Linked DNA regions of Sus scrofa. The protein of the gene in region 1 binds, or shares a complex with, the protein of each later gene. Links are inferred from orthologs where the notes say so. Each region holds a gene or a part of one and is shown in the gene's direction. Other genes may lie near its edges.

The links.
Region 2: the proteins of GNAI1 (region 1) and HRH3 are in contact, whole or in part, in a cryo-EM structure (PDB 8YUU), measured with the Homo sapiens proteins. The link is inferred for Sus scrofa from reciprocal best matches to the Homo sapiens genes GNAI1 and HRH3. Residues at the interface, in NP_002060.4 of Homo sapiens: Ala31, Arg32, Glu33, Val34, Leu194, Thr219, Lys314, Asp315, Glu318, Ile319, Tyr320, Thr321, Thr340, Asp341, Ile343, Ile344, Asn347, Leu348, Lys349, Asp350, Cys351, Gly352, Leu353, Phe354; in NP_009163.2 of Homo sapiens: Asn69, Asp131, Arg132, Ser135, Val136, Ala139, Val140, Ser141, Tyr142, Arg143, Ala144, Gln146, Ile221, Ile225, Arg228, Arg232, Phe344, Thr345, Phe348, Arg349, Arg352, Asp353, Lys355, Val356, Ser359, Leu360, His416, His417.
Region 3: the proteins of GNAI1 (region 1) and GPR88 are in contact, whole or in part, in a cryo-EM structure (PDB 7EJX), measured with the Homo sapiens proteins. The link is inferred for Sus scrofa from reciprocal best matches to the Homo sapiens genes GNAI1 and GPR88. Residues at the interface, in NP_002060.4 of Homo sapiens: Arg24, Glu28, Ala31, Arg32, Tyr320, Asp337, Ala338, Thr340, Asp341, Ile344, Asn347, Leu348, Lys349, Asp350, Cys351, Gly352, Leu353, Phe354; in NP_071332.2 of Homo sapiens: Ser66, Arg138, Leu141, Ile142, Pro146, Ala147, Gln150, Gln154, Ile215, Arg218, Val219, Ser222, Val223, Arg225, Val226, Ser285, Val286, Tyr336, Arg339, Asn340.

The regions. Positions count from the first base shown.
Region 1 is NC_010451.4:100,269,398-100,273,146, reverse strand, and holds the start of GNAI1 (guanine nucleotide-binding protein G(i) subunit alpha-1), read left to right. Parts: upstream 1-872; 5' UTR 873-1,226; coding exon 1,227-1,344; intron 1,345-3,749. UniProt on the Homo sapiens protein: Guanine nucleotide-binding proteins (G proteins) function as transducers downstream of G protein-coupled receptors (GPCRs) in numerous signaling cascades.
Region 2 is NC_010459.5:61,622,253-61,624,515, reverse strand, and holds the end of HRH3 (histamine H3 receptor), read left to right. Parts: coding exon 1-577; 3' UTR 578-1,651; downstream 1,652-2,263. UniProt on the Homo sapiens protein: The H3 subclass of histamine receptors could mediate the histamine signals in CNS and peripheral nervous system. Signals through the inhibition of adenylate cyclase and displays high constitutive activity (spontaneous activity in the absence of agonist).
Region 3 is NC_010446.5:117,621,032-117,624,780, reverse strand, and holds the start of GPR88 (probable G-protein coupled receptor 88), read left to right. Parts: upstream 1-1,028; 5' UTR 1,029-3,749. UniProt on the Homo sapiens protein: Orphan G protein-coupled receptor implicated in a large repertoire of behavioral responses that engage motor activities, spatial learning, and emotional processing. May play a role in the regulation of cognitive and motor function.

The DNA.
Region 1 (3,749 bases):
CAGGAGCCATCTCCCTCGGACCAGGTACAGCTGGAAGGATGGAGCGATAGTGTGGATCAACTCCATATCATTTTATGGGAGAGGAAGCCAATGAATGACATGTCCAGTGGATTATGATTTACTAACATGGTCGTAAATATTGGTTCAGAACTTGGCTTGGAGGCTTACACACCGCTGCAGAGGACGTCGGCTATGGTGTGGAGCATATTTGTGTGGGCGTGTTTTACTGGCTTTGTCATTTAAAAATATACTCTTTGATTCTTTGTCTCACACTTTCTCAGTTTATGAGGAAATCCCTCAAAATGTTCTCTGGTTGTGAAAAAGAATCTGAGAATGGATGGAAGCGGCGAGAAGGGAAGGAGATAGAAACGGAAGAAAGTTGACCTTCTGTCCGCCCCAGACTTTTCTGTCCCCCATTGTCCCCACCTGTGCTTTCGCCACGGCTCGATCCCCTCCCCAGCTCCATGTTTCCCAGGAAGCTGGACGCGGGTTTACAGGTCGAAAACCCTTGCGTGGCTGCCAGAGCTGGGCATGCTCAAACGCCCAGGAATGGCTTTTTTTGGTTTCCAACTTTGGCAGCTCTCCCACCCGCACCCCGAAGGGGCAGGTCCGCACACATCCCTGGGTGTGAGTAAACGGGAGGAAATTATCACACTCCCGCGGAAGAAGTGAGGTAGGGGAGCTAGCCTGACAGTTCAGGGTTCCGGGGCTCAGGGGCGCGCGCGGGAAGGAGGAGGGCCCTCCCGGGCTGCGCCGCTTCGGGGTCCGCGGCAGCGCGGGCGCGCGCGCCCGTCCGAGGGGGCGCAGTCCGAGGGCTCTGGCGGGAGCGCGCGCTCTGGGAGTGGTCGCGGGGTGGCGGGAGGGGCCGAGCAGGGGCGGGGCCGCGGCGGCGCGCGGACGCCGAGCCGCTCCGGGCTTCTAGAGGCAGCCGCGCAGCTACTGGCAGGAGGCCCCCAGTCTGTGTGCCCTGAGCCTCGAGACCCGGGACTTCGGGGGCGCGGAGGGAGGCGAGGAGCAGAGCCCGCTGAGGGGGAAGAAGCGCGCGGTGCTGCTTGCTCCTTTACAGACTGCGCTGTCTACACTCCATTTCGGAACTGGGTGGGGGTGGCGTGGCCGGCGACGGGAGGAATTCGAACGCCCGCACCCAGAAGGAAAGATTTCACCTGTGTTTCGAGGCAGCGCGCCGGACTTGAAGGGAGTGGCGGGCAGCTCTTGCTTCTGGCACAATGGGCTGTACGCTGAGCGCCGAGGACAAGGCGGCGGTGGAGCGGAGTAAGATGATCGACCGGAACCTCCGCGAGGATGGCGAAAAGGCGGCGCGGGAGGTCAAGCTGCTGCTGCTGGGTAAGGGCAGCCGGGCCGGGCTGGCGGCTGGGGGCACCCAGGGGGTCGGGCGGATGTGCTGGGCGCGGCGGCCGCTGCTGGCTTGGCGTTGGGAAGCCCGGAGGGGACGTGCCAAAACGGCCGAGGGCGCGTCTTGTAGCCCGCCGGAGGAGGGTTTCGAAGGGCGAGCTTGTGTGGTGTGGTGCGGAGGCGAGGCGAGGCGGGCGCCCCTTTCCCGGGTCTCTTTCCCCTCTGCTCCCTGGCCGGGGAGAACTCTCCCGCGGCGGCGCAGGAGCTTCACTTCGCTGACGTGCCTCGGTGCAGAACCTGCGAGGAGCCCCTTTTTCTTTTAAGTTAGCTCAGCTGTATACAGATGAAAGGGCATTGGCACCGGGAGAATAAAAGCACCCTCCGCCCCCCTCGAAAACCCTTCATTCAAGGTGTCGTGTCGCGGTTGTGGTTTTCCTGTGTCAGGAGTGCCACGTTTTGTGAAATCAGTGAACCTTTATGGGGCCTCCAAGGGACTGAAATGTGTCTTTCTGGTGAACTTCCTATGGCGACTCAGTAAGTGTTACAGGAGCAGTGATTATATTTACCTTGTGTTAAGGGAGTAGGCTACGCTGGATGCTGGATTTTTATTGCTGTGGGGACATGGAAATCACTGAAGTTAGGTAACAGTGGCTTCAGTAAGATACTCCAGCGCTGAAAACCACTGTGAAAGGTGCGAATGGGTCACACCAGACAACGGGATTCTCTCTCTGCTGGCCGCGGTTTTTGATGAATGAGATTTGCCAGGTACCCGCGAGGCTTTTATTTGTTCTTAGTGTTGTTCTCCTGGTGAAACGCTATGTGGAGGAGGTCGTTTCCAGTTGTTTGAAGGGAGGAAACGTAAAAAGAGTAAGCCAGGATTGTTTTTGAGATGTGCATTAGGAAAATATTCAGTTTAAGATTGGTTGATGCGTGAGTTAGGGCTTTCTTTTGTTTGCTTGTCCTCCCACCCCTACACCCCCAACAACACACACCCTGTAGGTAAAGTAGGTGAAAGATTTCTTTGTTTTCATTCCCAGCGATTGCTTTTATTTTTATAATAGTTATAATAGAGGAGAAATACTATTGCATAAACCTGTTTTCAGTAAGCTTCTGTTTCATTGGTTTAGTGACTGCAGGAAAATGGTGGGTTTTTTTCTCCATTACTAGTAGGCTTAGAAGCAGCAAACTTGGCATGACTAAAAGTAATAATGATCTGAGTCATTCTGCACGCAAACTGTGTAATAACTTTGCATTTTAAAGACTTGGTGGCTTTCTTCACCCCCGCCCCCCACAGCAGAAATTGTTTCAGTTAATAGTGTTTACTTAAGTTTTCACATTAGTAAGAAAATAATTGTCTTTTGAGGAAGTCACTGTATTTTCAGTGTATTGAGCACAGGAGTGACACCTTGGCATGGAAACAAGTAGGTGTTTCTCTTTAGAATCAAATGTACTTGAGAAGAAAATGGGGGAAAATATTTTGGGAAGTTTTTTCCTGCAGTTTCTGCACTCCTGCTCCGATATATTATTTCACTGTATTGTGTGACACTCAGTTTGAGCCAGCCATCCACCATGTTTAAAGCATCAAGAAACGAGTCCTCTAATGTTGTTTTATGCTTTAAATAGATATCTTGCAGAGAAAGATGGACTAGAAGAAAGGTTCAAGGAATTGGTTTTTGCTTCTAGTCAGAAGAGATCAGTATTTCTCAGCCTTAGCACTATTGGCATTTTGGGTGGAATCATACTTTGTTGTGCAGACGGTCTTGTGCATTGTAGGGTGTTTAGCAGAAATTTTGGCCTTCACCTTTTAGCAGCCCCCTCCACCCGTGACCCTAGAAAATGTCTCCATATATCTCAAAAACGTCCCATGGGGGCAAAATTTAATCTTAGCGGAGAGTCACTGTTCTAGACTAACAAATATAGCTGAATGTGTAATGTAGAACCAAAAGTTGCATCTGTATAGCCAACTATAGTGAGAGTTAAGAGAAAGAGGTAGCAGAGTCATGATTTTGAGAAGAAATTAGAGAACTTTTGTTTCTCCATACCAGTAGCATTAGAAAGCTTTCAACATGACTTTAAAATCTTTGGGTAACTGAATTCCTTCAGCTCCCTTTTCAAGTTTTAGTCTTTTGCTCTTGCCTACATCTTTTCTTTGTAGATATCCCATCACATCCTTGTCTGGTTCATGTGGAGGAACTCCTCCTCCTCCTCATGCGTCTTACTCCCTCCCCTTCTACTCTCTCTCACTCCCATTTTACTCTACCCTTTTGCCCAGTGTTCCAACACTCTTACTTCCTATGAACAGAATGCTGGCTTTTTTCATAAATCTTATTTCTTAGAATGTTCAAAAACTTTTTTCCACACTGATTTGACTTGAGTGCTGAAGAGTTGACCTTCTT
Region 2 (2,263 bases), on another chromosome or scaffold:
CAGCTGCTGGGGCTGCTGGCAGAAGGGGTGCGGGGAGGCTGTGCCGCTGCACAGGTGTGGGGTCGGGGTCGGCGAGGGGGCCCCGGGCACCGAGGCCAGGGAGGCGGCCCTCGGCGGCGGCAGCGGAGGGGGTGCCGCGGCCTCGCCCACCTCCAGCTCCGGCAGCTCCTCGAGGGGCACGGAGCGGCCGCGCTCGCTGAAGAGGGGCTCCAAGCCGTCCGCGTCCTCGGCGTCCCTGGAGAAGCGCATGAAGATGGTGTCGCAGAGCGTCACCCAGCGCTTCCGGCTCTCGCGGGACAAGAAGGTGGCCAAGTCGCTGGCGGTCATCGTGAGCATCTTCGGGCTCTGCTGGGCCCCCTACACACTCCTGATGATCATCCGGGCGGCCTGCCACGGCCGCTGCGTCCCCGACTACTGGTACGAGACGTCCTTCTGGCTGCTGTGGGCCAACTCGGCCGTCAACCCCGTCCTCTACCCGCTGTGCCACTACAGCTTCCGCCGAGCCTTCGCCAAGCTGCTCTGCCCCCAGAAGCTCAAGCTCCAGCCCCACAGCTCCCTGGAGCACTGCTGGAAGTGAGCCGGCCTCCCTGGGCACCTGGGCTGTGGGGGGACAGGCCCTCCCTTGCCGCCCCCTCCAGGTCCTGGCTTCCCAAGCAGCCGGGCCTCGCCCCCCGCCCCCTGGCCGCCCCCAGGGCTGAGCCATGCCTTGTCTCCGGCCCACCCTCAAGGCCATGGCAGCCTCTCTCATCCCTTCCGCTGGCAGTTGAGGCAGCCCGGTGGGCCGTCTGGAAGGGCCCTCGCTGCCCGAACCAGGATGTGGCTGCCCCCGTCCTGCTCTGCCCCAGAGGGCCAACCCAGGGGTCCCAGGCACTCTGTCCACCCCCCACGGACAGTGCGATGGCCAGTGGTGTCCACCCTTCGCAGTTACTGCTTGGTGATCTTCCCAGAGCAAGCGTTTGGCGTGTGCTCCAAGCCTCCAGAGCTGGTGCCCTGGCCCCGCACGTGCACACCCCCGCACACCCGCCTCGTCCCAGACGAGCCCCGGACGCTAGCTTCGCTGCTGTCTCCTGCTTAAGTCCGGGGCCAGGCCCCTTCATCCCTCTTTCTGCCAACTTTCTGTGACCCAAAGTGCCAGATGCCCACCAAGGAGCCTCTGGCACGTCTCGCTTCTCCATCCTGGGAGTTTCAGGGAAGACGGAGAAGGAGAAAACGCGTCCGTGAACTTGATGTTCCTTGGATGTTTAATCAAGAGAGAGAAAATTGCTGAGGAGCTCAGGGCTGGACTGGCAGGTGTGGGCTCCCACGCCCTCCTTCCTCGTGCTGCTGCTTCCGGCCGAGCAGTGCCAGCTGTCTCTGCCCACCCCGCCCCCAGCTCCGGGTGCGGGGCCGGACTGGAGGCTCTGAGAGCGGCTGGAGCCTGGCCGCCTGGTCGTCGGGAAGGCTGCCCCTCCCGCCCCATCTGCTGTCAGAGTCCCCTGGGGCTGTCAGGGGAGGGGACAGGGGCCGGGGTCCAGCAGAGGGGTTGCTTCACCATATCCCACACACCCAGTGGGCGCCCTGCATGCCCAGCTCCCATACCTGCTGTGCTGCCCTGCAGACCCCAGAGTCCACAGTAAAGTGTATTTTTTTATTGGTGCTGATTCCCGAGGACTTCGTGGGGGTGGCCAAGCCCCCGTACCTCAGTCAGGGACCTGGGGAGGGGAACCTGTGGTGGGGGGCAGAGGCGGGGGCAGTGGTTAACAGGTTTAGTCCTAACTAGAGATGCGTGCCTGGCAGTGCCCCCCCCTGGGGGGAACCCCTTTGGTAGCGTGGCATGGCATTGTGCAGGACTCACTCTAGGCTTGAGAGTATCGGCCCCAGCCCCCACCCCCAGGACAGCTGTGATTCCCCCCGCCACCTCCCCCCCCGCCTCCAGGGGCGTGGGGCCTGAAGCTGAGCTGGGGGGAAGGGCCAAGGAGCTTCCTGCACCGAGGCCGGGGCCAGGGGGCTGGGGCCCGGGAGGAGGACCTGATAAGGACAGTGCCGGTGGGCACGGAACCCTTGGGCTCCGCGGGGTGGGGGGCAGACACCGGCCCTCCCCCAGGTGCCCAGAGTCAACTCAGAAAGGGGGCAAGTCCAGCCCAACTTAGGGGGGTTACGAACTTGGGTGGATCAGATGCCACCTCCTCCCCCTTTCCAGCCTCCAGGGCCCTCCCTTCCCGACCTCACGGGCACAGCCTCTTGTTCTCCCCCCATGGCATCTGCCCAGTCCTGACCCTGGCAG
Region 3 (3,749 bases), on another chromosome or scaffold:
AAGCCTTGTGGTTGCCAAGGGGGAAGGGGAGGGAGCATGTTGTACGGTAGGAAAAGAAATTGTAGTGGGAAAATAACAATTAAAAAAATAAAATTAAAAAAAGTTTTCTTTTCTTTTTAGGGCTGCACCTTTGGCATACGGAAGTTCCCAGGCTAGGGGTCTGAATCAGAACCATAGCTGCTGACCTGCGCCAGAGCCACAGCCACGCTTGGAGCCACACCTGCGACCTATAACAAAGCTCGTGGCAGCACCAGATCCTTAGCCCACCGAGGAAGGCCAGGAATGGAACCTGTAACCTCACGGACACCATGCTGGGTCCTTAACCTGCTGAGCCACAACGGGAACTCCCAAAGCTTTCTTTTTGTATTTCAGAGCCAGTAATTCTTTTTTCTTTTCTTTCTTTCTTTCTTTCTTTCTTTCTTTCTTTCTTTCTTTCTTTCTTTCTTTCTTTCTTTCTTTTTTCAGGTAAAAAATCTTCTAAGGGTATTGAAGAGCCAGAATGCTCTAGGCACTGAGCCAGTGCTCCTACGCCCCTGATCATAACGCTTTGTTTTAAACTTGTAGGTTAAACTGGCATAAATCTGATAACCGCCCCCCTCCAGCAGCCAGTGTCCATGCTCTCCTTTCTCCCGTCCCTCCCGAGTCTTAGCAGGGCATGTGGGCACTCGGCTAGAGTGACCCAGCCTGTCTTGCAGCACGGAACAGCATGGGACTAAAGTTTGGGCCACTGGGATGTGTGCGGAAGTGATAGGTGAAATTTTCAGTTCATATCCTTATCTCTTGGTGACCCTGTTTTCTCATCTATTAAATGGATTTAAGGGGTCAGGGTCCCCCAGGCCTCACATCCCCTTTCTAGATCGTGTTCATTGCCAAGATCACAGAATCCTATGTCTGGTGGCCATGAGCACACTCCCGTGAGCTGTTTTTGCCCTTTGATGACTGACTGTGTCTTCCAGGCAGGACCCTAGGTCTGAGATGTTGCCAAGGAGTAGCTGTGTGACAAGGAGATGAATGACACTTGGATGGGAAGGCTGGCATGTCCTGTGTTAAAATGAGGCCCCTCTGGCATGTGATGGCAGGATAGAGGGTGAGAGAAAAGGGGGTGAACTGTGGGCCAGAGGCAAGCTTGGTAAGTCGTCATATTCCAGTGGCATGGGACACTCTATAAATCTGAGAATTCTAAATTTGAATCTGGCTTTTCAGTGTATATCAAGATAGGAGAATAGAACATATTTTATTTAAGAGCTTAATAGCTTGATCTATGATTTTAAAATATTTAGAAATAGGGCATATGGACTTCTATTCAGACTCTTGCCCTGGCCTGCAAATTTAGGCCCAATCAGGCCTGGCTACCTTGCAAGCCTGGTATGAGGACTAAATAAAAAAGAGATGAAAAATACTCACAACAGTGCTTGGTACACATGGTGTGTGTGTTTCATGAGTAATGATGACACAATGATTCTTCTGAGGGCCACAGGGACCTAGAGAAAAGTTTTCAGCAGGATAGTGACAGATACTCACTATTTTCCCTACAAATATTGATTAAGGGTCTACAATGTGCCTGGCATTGTTCTGCCAATAACAGTCGTGAGAAAAGTAAAGCTCCTATTTCCAAGGAATGTATATTGGAGCGGAGGGTGGGAAAATAGACAAAAATAAAACTATATAATATGCCAAGTGATGTCGTTTGGTTTTAGAAAGATCGCAGCGGCTGGGGAGAGGTAAGATTGCAAGTAGAGTCAGGAGCTTGTTGGTGGTAATTCAAAGACGAGATGACGGTTGTCAGATGCCAGGTATGCCAGAATGACCAGAGATCAGCGAAAAGATAAAAAAAATTAACACAGTAGAATGACGACACTTGGGAGTAAGAGAGAGAAGAAGGAATTAGGGGTGATGGCTGGGATTCCGACTGGGGCACCAGGGTCCTGGCGATGCCGGGTCACTGAGATTCACACCATAGGAGAAGGAGGGACTGATTTGGAAAGAAGACGAGGGATCAGTTTTGGACATTTGGGGTTTAGATGCCCACAGAACACCTAGGTGGAGTTGTCCAGTAGGCAGTTTTATCCATGGGCCAACCTTTGGCCAGTTGGAAAGTATCTCAGGGGCAAAAGCCAAAAGCAGCGTGGGGTGGGCATTCAGTGGGAGGAAGGGAAGTAGAAGCAGAAAGAGAGCACTTTTGCCAGGAAAGGGAAAAGCTGTGTAGGCACTTTGAGAAGGAGGGCAAGTGCAGGAAAGAGGTACTGGATTGCAGGGAAATCGGCATTTTTGTGGCCAGTGGAAAGCAAGCAGCAGAGAGTAGAGAGACTGGAGATGCATCAGAGGGGGCAGTTCACTGAGTGAGTTCCTACGAGGAGAGGCGGAAAGAGATGCTAATGAAAATTATTCACGGTTTCACTATGGAAAAAACACATGCAATCATTTATACATGCATCCATTTGTTAATTCAATAGTATGTTAATTCTAATCAAGTAGTGCTCTGATGCTGAGAAGAAGACAGAAAAAATCCCCACCCTATATTATGTAAGTTCAGTAGCTTAAAACAAAACAAACAAAACTTTGGCCCCTGCCAGGCCAGGGCTAAAGAAGGCAGGGTCTTGGCAGAAGCACGTGCGACTGTGCATGTGACTGCAAGGCACTGGAGTTCCCCCGGCAGGGACTTTGTCTGGTTCTCATGTAAAGCAGGAGCCTGGACTAAGGACCTGGAATTTGAACACCCCACAGATGTGAGAAGAGATCTTTATTGCAACAACAAGTCCTAACTACAAATGTTTAGCGGGATCTCTTGCAAGCTTTCTATACTTGATGTCCTCAAAGCCTCAAGAAAGACAGATAACAGGCAGAGACCCTGGCAAAAGAAAACCCTGCTACTCAATTAATTCCATTTGGACATCACCTAAATGGACCAAATCCATCAAGTCCTGCTTAGCGTTAACAGTCATTAATGAGCACTGGTTTTGAAAGAGACAGAGGGAAGCAGAGGAGGTGAATGTGTGCTTTGCCCTGACGAGGCACACTTGGGGACAGATTGGCAAAAATTCCCACCTAACCTGAGACGGACCACATTACACGTTAGACAGAGTAGGAGTATTTCAAGTGTCAGACTAGGTTGGAGCAATGTCAAGTTTATGCTTGGGGATTCATAGAACGTTCAAACAGAAAGGGCCTTGGACGTCACTGAGTGAAACGTATTTGACAAGATGAGAACGATCCATCACAGGGCCATTGGTGGATGGCCAGCTTAGGACTCAGGGGTCCTGAAACCCCACCTAGCATTTTCTCCAGGATGCCATGTCACCATATTCTGTATGGCATTAGGTTTTCAAATAAGGGATTTTTTGCCATTGAAAAATGATTTGCAAGAGGGTGACTACTTTTTATGAAAAGTTTCCCATTCGGAAGCTTCCAACATCAAATTGCAAATCTCCATCTCAGACAGACCATGGGGTACCAAGCTCAGCACTGAGGAGGACACTTTCTGGTTTACCCTGGAGATCATCCAGGCCCCTTGCTTTCCCCTGGACACAAACTTGCACGTAACCTTCGGATCATGCCATTTTTACCCCCTAGCTACTTCACTGCTGAAACAGAAGCCGCTCTGGAAAGGAGTTTCGTGATGAGAAAAAAGTTCAAATTATGATTTGAGACCTGGGGATTTTCTGTGGATAATTACCCATGTCCCACTTTACCAGAGAAAAAGTGAATTTCAATTAGAATGTAAAGCAATTCTCCCTGAAACCGTGGGATGG